2 linked regions of the Canis lupus familiaris genome follow. The protein of the gene in region 2 binds, or shares a complex with, the protein of the main gene of each other region. Links are inferred from orthologs where the notes say so. Each region holds a gene or a part of one and is shown on either strand. Other genes may lie near its edges.

What was found. The genes of interacting proteins can lie anywhere in the genome.
Region 1: the proteins of XKR8 (region 2) and BSG are in contact, whole or in part, in a cryo-EM structure (PDB 7DCE), measured with the Homo sapiens proteins. The link is inferred for Canis lupus familiaris from reciprocal best matches to the Homo sapiens genes XKR8 and BSG. Residues at the interface, in NP_060523.2 of Homo sapiens: His232, Leu236, Val239, Leu242, Trp243, Leu246, Gln247, Arg280, Gly283, Arg284, Ile287, Phe291, Ser294, Asp295, Leu298, Ala301, Thr302; in NP_001719.2 of Homo sapiens: Trp326, Pro327, Gly330, Ile331, Glu334, Val335, Leu338, Val339, Ile341, Ile342, Phe343, Tyr345, Glu346, Lys350.

What each region holds. Positions count from the first base shown.
Region 1 is NC_049241.1:58,428,392-58,433,103, forward strand, and holds the start of BSG (basigin), read right to left. Parts: upstream 2,939-4,712; 5' UTR 2,871-2,938; coding exon 2,804-2,870; intron 1-2,803.
Region 2 is NC_049223.1:71,817,326-71,821,780, reverse strand, and holds the start of XKR8 (XK-related protein 8), read left to right. Parts: upstream 1-1,546; 5' UTR 1,547-1,640; coding exon 1,641-1,933; intron 1,934-4,379; coding exon 4,380-4,455. Other genes in the region: SMPDL3B (acid sphingomyelinase-like phosphodiesterase 3b), read left to right, coding at 275-640.

The sequences.
Region 1 (4,712 bases), on a different chromosome or scaffold from region 2:
GGGCAGGGGCTGCAGGGGCTCAGAGAGGGGCCAAGGCAGGGCATCCCCATCCCGTCTCAGAGGAACCACAGGCTGACACCCCTGCCCTGACCGAGGCACCCCAGGAATTCACAGGGGCAGGAAGGAAACAGGGAGAGAGCCTGAAAAGCGAAGACTCTGTTTTGGCCCAAGTGACTGTGACCCACGTTCTCAAGTCAAGTCACCTTCATCTAAAAACAGCCACCCCTCCTCCACGCCCTGAGGCAGCCGGGCAGGGCACCCAGCCAGGCAGGCCTTATGGTAAACAGCCCAGGAGCTGGGAGGAGGCCCCAGCACCCAGCCTCCTCCCACCCACCTCGGCAGGCAGCTCTGCTCAGGTAGGAGGAGCAAGAGAACATTTCTGGGATGCCAGCCATAGGCTCTGGGCCTCCCCCCTCCCCTCCATCTCACCAGGAGGCGGCTCCCGCTCCCTTCACCTGAGGCTCAGAGGCCAAATCCACCGCCTGCAGGACTCAGCTAGCAACCTGGGGCCCGCCTGTGCCCTCCCCAGCAGGCCTGCCAGGACGATGGGACCCTCGACAGTCCCAGTCCCTGTCCCTGTCCTGGGCCTTGGCCAACACGGGCGCCAACCTGCCAGGCATGTGCTGCGTGAGTTGAGGAAAGCCACTGCTGGCAGCGTCCCCTGAAGCAAGCGTCTGGGACACTGACCCAGACAGGAGAGGCGCACGCTGTCAATAATTCACCCGTCCCAGGGGAAAAAGGACCATGGCATTCCTGGGAGTTCCCGGGAAAGGTGGAACTATCAAAGGTGATACAAAACAGGGCCTGGGGGCGGGGGGGGGGGGGGGGCCTCAGTGGGTGAGCGTCTCCTTTGGCTCCGCTCTGATCCCAGGGTCTGGAGGTCAAGCCCCATGACAGCAGGGAGCCTGCCTGTCCCTCTGTCTCTGCCCTCCACTCCCCACTCGTGCTCTGTCATATAAGTAAATAAATAAATAAAATACTTAAAAACAAACAAAGAGGGATCCCTGGGTGGCTCAGCAGTTGAGCATCTCCCTTCGGCTCAGGGTGTAACCCTGGGGTCCCGGGATGGAATCCCACATCAGGCTCCCTGCAGGGAGCCTGCTTCTCCCTCTGCCTGTGTCTCTGCCTAAAAAAAAACAAAAAACAAACAAACAAAAACCACTAATGAAATACATGTCAAGATATTTCATTTAAAAAAAAAAAATTGGGATCCCTGGGTGGTGCAGCGGTTTGGCGCCTGCCTTTGGCCCAGGGCCCAATCCTGGAGACCCGGGATCGAATCCCACGTCGGGCTCCCGGTGCATGGAGCCTGCTTCTCCCTCTGCCTGTGTCTCTGCCTCTCTCTCTCTCTCTGTGTTACTATCATAAAAAATAAATAATAAATAAATAAATAAATAAATAAATAAATAAATAAGAAGCAAGCACAGACACGAATCCCAGGTGGGCTCAGTGCAGAGACCGCCCACCCGCTACAGGCTGCGGGAGAGGGGGCAGGGGTCCTCCCGGCCTCCTGGCTGGAGCGCTGGTGACTGAAGCCAGGAATGAGGTAGAGACGTGCTTCCCCCTCTGACAGACGGGCGAACTCAGGAAAAGCACGAGTCCTCCTCCACGCCCCGCGGGCCGGGGCCACCAGCCACGCAGAGCGACTCCCCAAGGCTGGCGCTGCCAGAAACAGCAGCCTATTCTCCGCGTCCGGCGAGCCTGCGGGCTCCTGAGTCCGGCAGGGACCCGCTGGCAGTGGATAGTGGGCAGCGCGCCCGCCAGGGCCCAAGGCCCTCGCCCGGAGGCTCTCATAAACCGTCTGAGGAGGAGGAGGAGGACGGAGGCCAAGCGAGTCAAGTGGGTCAGGGGTAAGCGGGTGAAGCTCCGCGGGAGGCCCAGACCCTTCCTGCACTTTGTTCCCTACCTGCCATCCCTGGAAATCTTTAACCCAGAGCCACACGGGAAGTCTCAACCCCGGGAAGAACCCGTCCTGCTGTGTGTCCCCCGACACTCGGGCTCCCACCCAGCTTCTTTCTCCCCGTCGGTCCGACCCCCAAACGCTGCCCAGTCCCCAAGGCCTCCGCGGAACCGGACGCTGTGTGAGCTGAACACAAGGCTCTGCACGCTCCCTGCTCCCTGCCCGGACCCGGGCTGCCCGGGCGACCTCGCGGCGACCTTGGGGCACCTCCCCTCCGCAGCCGGGCCTCAGTTTCCAGCCCCGGAAAAGGACAGGGTGGGCAGGACGCCACCTCCTCCCCCGGCTCTGCAGGCGGACGAGCCCGCCCGGCGCCCAAGGGCTCAGCGCGCCGCGCGACACCGGGGGCAGGAGCCTCCCGAGCAGCTCCGGGCCCGAAATCCTGCCAAGAATGACAATCCCTCCAGGCCCCGCAGGCTGCAGGCAACCCCCGCCCAGACCCCCGGGAGCCCCCGCGCCGACCCCCGGGAGCCCCCGCCCCGACTCCCGCGAGCCCCCGCGCCGACCCCCGCCCCCACTCCCAAGAGCCCCGCGCCGACCCTCGGGAACCCCCGCGCCGACCCCCGGGAGCCCCCGCCCCGACTCCCAAGAGCCCCCGCGCCGACCCCCGCGAGCCCCCGCGCCGACCCCCGCCCCCGCCCCGAGCCCCTGCGCCCCGCGCCGACCCCCACGAGCCCCCGCGCCGACCCCCGCCCCGACCCCCAGGAACCACCGCGCCGACCCCCGCCCCGACCCCCAGGAACCACCGCGCCGACCCCCAGGAGCCCCCGCGCCGACCCCCAGAAGCCCCCGCGCCCTCCCCGCGCCTCCCGCTCCGCCCCCGCCCGCGTCCGTCCCGACGCTCACCTGCCCCGGAGCCGCCCCCGGCGCCCAGCAGGGCCAGCGCCAGCACCACGAGCCCCCGAGCCGCCATGCCGCCGCCGTCCGTGCCGACCCCGCCGCCAACCGCCGCCCGCGGCGCTATAAGAACCTGAGGGGGGCCCGGGCGCGCGCGCGCAGGGCGACGTCGCGGGGCGGGGACGCGCACGGCACGCCGGTCGGCCCTCCTGCGCACGCGCGCGGAAGCACGTATACACGCGCTGGCCCGAGCGGGCGCGGGCGGACGCACCACGTGACCCCGGAGGCCCCGCCTCGCTGCCTGGGGGCGTGGCTGCGTTGCTAGGAAACGGGGGCGTGGCCTGCGCTGGGCCCCTCCTCCCTTTCTGCAGCCTCAGACTGTGACGTCAGAACTGGGGGGGAATCCTCCCAGGTGGTTGACAGCTCGCTTTATATCGTGTGTGTTTTATCCCAGTACGGAAGGGGAAAAAAGCATTAAGGGAGGGGGTTAGGGATCCCTGTGAGCAGGTGGGACGTCGCGCTGGGCTGGGGCGGGCTGGCGGATTTAGCAAATAAAAATACCTGGATGGCAGTTAAGTTTGAATTGCAGATGGAGAATGAGTAATTTCCTGGTACAAGGATCCCGGGCAGTATCTGGACGCAGTTATGCCAGGAAAAGCATTCGCCGTTTATCTGAAATTCAGATTAACTGGCTGTGCCGCATTTTGCCTGGAAAACCTACCGTGAGGTCCCTATGTTTTACAACAAATACATTTTATTTTTTTATTTTTTAAGATTTTACTTATTTTTTTATTTTTTAAGATTTTATTTTATTATCTTTTTAAAGATTTTATTTATATATTCATAAGAGACACACAGAGAGAGGCAGAGACACAGGCAGAGGGAGAAGCAGGCTCCATGCAGGGAGCCCGATGCGGGACTCGGTCTGGGGACTCTGGGGTCACGCCCTGAGCCCAAGGCAGACGCTTAACCACTGAGCCCCCCAGGTGCCCCTTTAAGGTTTTATTTTTAATAATAGTGGTATTCTCTACACCCGACGTGGGGCTCGAACTCGCAACCCTGCGATCAGAAGTCGCGTGCTCCGCCCAACCCACCCAGCCAGGCGCCCGTACCGCAAACACTTTTCGAAATGACAAAATGATTTCTTTTTTTTTTTTTTTTTTGACAAAATGATTTCAAACAAAAACCAGGTAGTGTCACCTTGACGACTTTGGCTCAGGCAGTGGTTTCTTATATACGACAGCAAAAGCATGAGCGACAATCAATATCTAAACAGAACTTCATCAGGATTAAACAGCTGGTGCTTCAAAGAACTGCAAGGAGGAAGTGAGGAAATGGCCCGCAGGCCGGGAGAAAGCACGGGTACATCACGTGTCCCAGGAGGGCCTTACATCTAGAAAATATAAAAAACACTTACAACTGGATTTAAAACACGGACAAATAATCCAATTAAAAACAGACAAAGGACCCGAATGCGACACTTGTCCAAAGAAGACATGCACGGGGGGCACTAACCATGAAGAGGTGCCGTCGTGAGCCATCAGGGAACGCAAATCACAGGCGGCCCTGCTGGAAGCAAGAAAATCACAAGCGTTGGCGGGCGAGGACCCAGAGCCCCCCATGCGGCTGAGAGGAAGGGACGGGGACACGGGTGCAGCCGCGGCGGGTCACGCCCCAGCAGTTCCCGCTCCACCCAGCGCCCCGACTGCTGTGTGTGCACCCCAGGGTGGGCAGCTGCACCCAGGCTCCCCGCATCCCCCGCAGCCCCGGTGCCTCTTCCCATTGTGTTCACCTGCTTGTGCTTTTCAAGACTGGCAGAGACCAGAGAAGCTCTGAAGAGGCGTCGACGTTCACGGGGAGACCTGTTCCTAAGGTGCCTCCCTCTGGGGACCAGGACGGGGATCCCCCGGTGTCCAGT
Region 2 (4,455 bases):
GGATTCCAGACCCCGCCCCTGCCACTAAACACCTGTAGGGCCCTGGACAAATGAATTAACCACTTAGGCCTCAGTTTGCCCATCTGTGAAATGGGGGTCATAAGGTCAGTCACCTCATCGGCACAGCGGGCCTACCCGGTAAGTAGGAAATGCTAACCAAAGGCCGGCATTGTGGGAGCTGTAAAGAATCTGGGGGCAAATGCGAGGTGCGGGATTGTGGGGGTGAAAGCTGCCAGCTGCTCACGGCCTGCCCTCCCCCGCGCCCTCCCTCCAGGACATGGTGACCTACTTTGTGAACCTGAGCCAGGCGAACGCGCAGGGGACCCCGCTCTGGGAGCTCGAGTACCGGCTGACCCAGGCCTACGGGGTGCCCGACGCGGGCGCCCGCTCCATGCACGCGGCGCTGGGCCGCATCGCCAGCGACCCCCGCGCGCTGCAGCGCTACTACGTCTACAACTCGGTCAGCTACGACCCCTCGGCCTGCGAGCAGGCCTGCCGCGCCGAGCACGTGTGCGCGCTGCGCGAGGTGGCCTTCGACGCGTACGCCGCCTGCCTGCGCGCCCCCGGCGCCGCGCCCGCGCCCCGGCTCGCGCTCCTGCTTGCGGCGCCGCTGGGCCTGCGCGCGCTGCTCCCGCGGTGACCCGGGGCCGCCCGGAGCAGCCGCCGCTCGGGGACCAGGCCCGGAGACCCCCCCTCCCCACCTCGGCACGGGGTTTAAAAGTTTCATTGGGAAAACAATGCTCACCGAGCATCTTATGCTGTGCGTCTTTCCTCTTAGTATATAAGTAATGTGTGTTGTTTTTTTTTTTAAGATTTCATTTATTTATTCATGAGACACACACACACACACACACACACACACACACACACACACACACACACACACAGAGGCAGAGCCACAGGCAGAGGGAGAAGCAGGCTCCGTGCAGGGAGCCCGAGCCGGGACTCGATCCGGGGACTCCAGGATCACGCCCTGGGCCAAAGCGGCGCTAAAGCGCTGCGCCCGCCACCGGGGGACCCCTATGGATAATGCTGAATGCAACTCCCCTGCGCAGTTTCTGGACGGGTCTTGCAGGTCCCCCCACCCTGGCCTCCCCGCGTGTGGATGGTCCGAGTACCGGGGGCCTCCGGGGAGGGGCGCCCCGCGGGCCCGTGCCCTCGGGCTCAACGGGCGCTCGGCCCGCTCGAGGCACACCCGCTTTGCGAAGTCCCGCCGTCGGGGAACAGAACCCGCCTCGCTGTCCCGCGACCGCGCGGATGCGAGGGGTCGCAGTCCCAGCCCGGGCGCCGCTCTCCGGGCCCTTCCGTCGTCTCCATCGCAAAGCGAGGCGAAGAGAAGTCCGGGGAGGCTAAGGACGGACGGAGTGGCCGGCGGTCTCCGGGCCCAGCGGCCCTCGGGCGCGGCGGGGCCGGCCTCCCGGGGCGCCGGCGGGCGCGGGCCGCATCGCGGGCGCCCCCAGCCGCGGGGTCCGCGGGCCTCGCTCCTCCCCGGACGGGGCGGGGCGGGGAAGTCCCGCCCAGGAGGCCCGGGTCCTGGGCGGCCCCTAGGGCTGCGCCCGCCTCCTTCCTGCCGCCGCGACCCCGGGCCCCGAGGGCGGGCCTGAGCCCAGAGGAGGAGGAGGGGGAGCGGCTGGCGGGTCATGCCCTGGTTACCCCGCGCCGCGCTCCTCTGGGACGTGGTCCTGGGCTTTGGGGGCACCGCCGCCTTCCTGATCGACCTGGGCGCCGACCTGTGGGCCGCGGGCCAGTACGTGGTCAGCGGCCGCTACCTGTGGGCCGCGCTGGTGCTGGCGCTGCTGGGCCTCGCCTCGGTCGCGCTGCAGCTCTTCAGCTGGCTCTGGCTGCGCGCCGACCCCGCCGGCTTGCACGCGCCGCAGCCCCCGGGTCGCTGCCTGGCGCTGCTGCACCTCTTGCAGCTGGGCTACCTGTACAGGTGAGCACCACGCCCTCGGGGAGAGGGAGGCAGGCGCCGCGGGCTGCTAGCCCGGGGGAGGGCCGCGACACCCCGAAGGGGGCGGGAAGGGAGGATCCGGACCCTGGAGAGGAAACTAAGCCCTGTGGGCACTCCTGCCCACAGGTGAGCTCCCCGCCCCTAAAGCCACGGAGGCCAGGCCGGCAGACAGCCCTCTGAGCGCCTCCTCTAGCCCTACCCTCCTGCCAACCCTGGGGAAGAAACTGAGGCACTTGGTCTGGAGTCAGGCCTCTCTGGGCTCCAGTCCTCGCTAATTTACCGTCTATGGCCTCATGCCTGCGTTCTCTAAGCCTTTTTCCTCTTCTCTGAAAAGGCAACAGTGATGTAGAAACAGGTCTGGCAGGCGGCCTCTTGTGGGGAGTGGAGGCAAGAGCTGAGGTGCCTAGTATGGTGCTGGGCTCTTGGTGGGCTCTAGGGTAAGGGCAGACTCCTTATATTTTCCATACAAAAAAAAAAGTTCCTTTTTTTCCCTGGGTGGGGCCTCAGGCAAGTCACTGGAGCCTCCGGGTCTGTTTACTCATTGCTCAGTGGGGATGGTTGTAGCGCCTGCCTCTTTTATTTATTTATTTATTTTTTAATTTTTTTAAATTTTTATTTATTTATGATAGTCACACAGAGAGAGAGAGAGAGAGAGAGAGAGGCAGAGACACAGGCAGAAGGAGAAGCAGGCTCCATGCACTGGGAGCCCGACGTGGGATTCGATCCTGGGTCTCCAGGATCGCGCCCCGGGCTAAAGGCAGGCGCTAAACCGCTGCGCCACCCAGGGTTCCCCCTGCCTCTTTTAGTAGAGATTAAATGAAATAAGATCTGTAAGTTGCTTTGAGTAAGCATTCAACAAATGTCAGCTGGCTTGATCACTTGGGTCACCGTGTATGGAGCGGGGTTGTGTGTGTGTGGGGGGGTGCGGGGCGGGGAGCTTCAGCAGCCCTGACCCCCAGAGCAGAGCTTGTTGTTTCAATCCCTCTTTCCGAGTTTTGTTCTCTCTGCCCCAACCTCTCACCCCCAGAGCAAGTGAAAGAGCAACATGGGGTCTGACTCACGCATGTCCCTTGAGCCAGCCAGGGCTGGACACAGGCTGGGTTCCAGAAAATCTGTGTGGGTTATACTCCTCCTCTGAACTGGCAGGGCCCTCTAGAGATGAAGAAACTGAAAGAAAGCAAGGGATCAGAGTCATGGGATGGAGTCAGGACACATGTGGTCTGGGTTGGGATGGGGTGGCTGGAGCCAGGATCTGCTCTTGAATCGATTTTACAGATTCTCTCCAGGTCTTGCTTTGACAAAGCTGCATCGGGTCTTAAGGAGTGGACAAGAGGAGCTTTGATATTGCAGTTTTGCCCGAGGGGCTGCACAGGCATCAGTAACATGCTGGGCGGGCGCGAAGGAGTGGTTATTCGGGTCCTGGCAGACCTCGCGGAGCCCTGAATCCGTAACTGTGTCATGCATCTTCCCTTCTCCTATTTCTGCTGAGCACGAGGCCAGCAGACTTTCCTACACTTTGGTTTTGAAAATGGGGTCTCTTTGACTAGACTGAGGCAGGGGCCTTGGGGGACCAGGGGCCGAGGCTTTTGCTGAGGGAGGAGCCCCAGCCTGGGCCTACCCGCCCTGCTCCCTTAGTGTGTTAGTCCATCCAGGGGGAAGTGACAGTAGATGACTGAATTTGCTGTGACTGAGTGGGCTCAGTAGCCCGCTGAGATCAGCTCTGTGGGGGAGATCGTGGTACATCTTCCTACCACCTCATGCCAATGCCAGTGGGTCAGTCACCCAGGCCTGTTTGGCCAACCTCTGGACCCCTTAACTCTGCCTCTGTCTCCATGTCCATTACTCTGGACAGTCCTCTTAAATAGATCTGTGCTCTCACAGCTGAGGGCTCACCCCTCCACCCCTTCCTCTTCTCCACAGCCAGGGTAATCTTCCTGCAGCACCATCTGACCTATCTTGTCTGTGCTCGCAAGCTCTCAATGTCTCCCCACTCCACCCCCCGGCCCCCAGAATCCTAAGAAAAATCTTATGCTTGCTAACATTTGAGAACTATCGCCCGAAGCAGTTTCACAGTAAACCTTTGAAATTCACACAGCTTTGGGGCCAAATCCTGTTTCCACCATTGATTAGCTCTTTGGGTCTATTCCCCATCCGTTAAATGGGAATGTTGTCAGGAGTAAATGGTTTGTGATGACCTTAGGACACCCCGGCCAGCTGGAGCCCCGGTAGCTGGTACTGCTCCCCATTCTACAACAAAAAGCAAGTTCAGGGAGGTTAAGTCACTTGTGCCCAAGGCCCCTCAGCATGTAAGTGACAAAAGCTAGGACTGGAGGCCACCTGCATCGACCCAGTGGGTGAGGGAAGGTGGGACGCCACCACACACTAACCTGGCCCCTTGGAGCATCCGTGTCCGCCCCCCCCCTCCCAGGTGTGTGCAGGGGCTGCAGCAGGGGCTCCTGGTGTGGCGGCAGGAGGCGCCCTCGGAGTTTGACTTGGCTTACGCC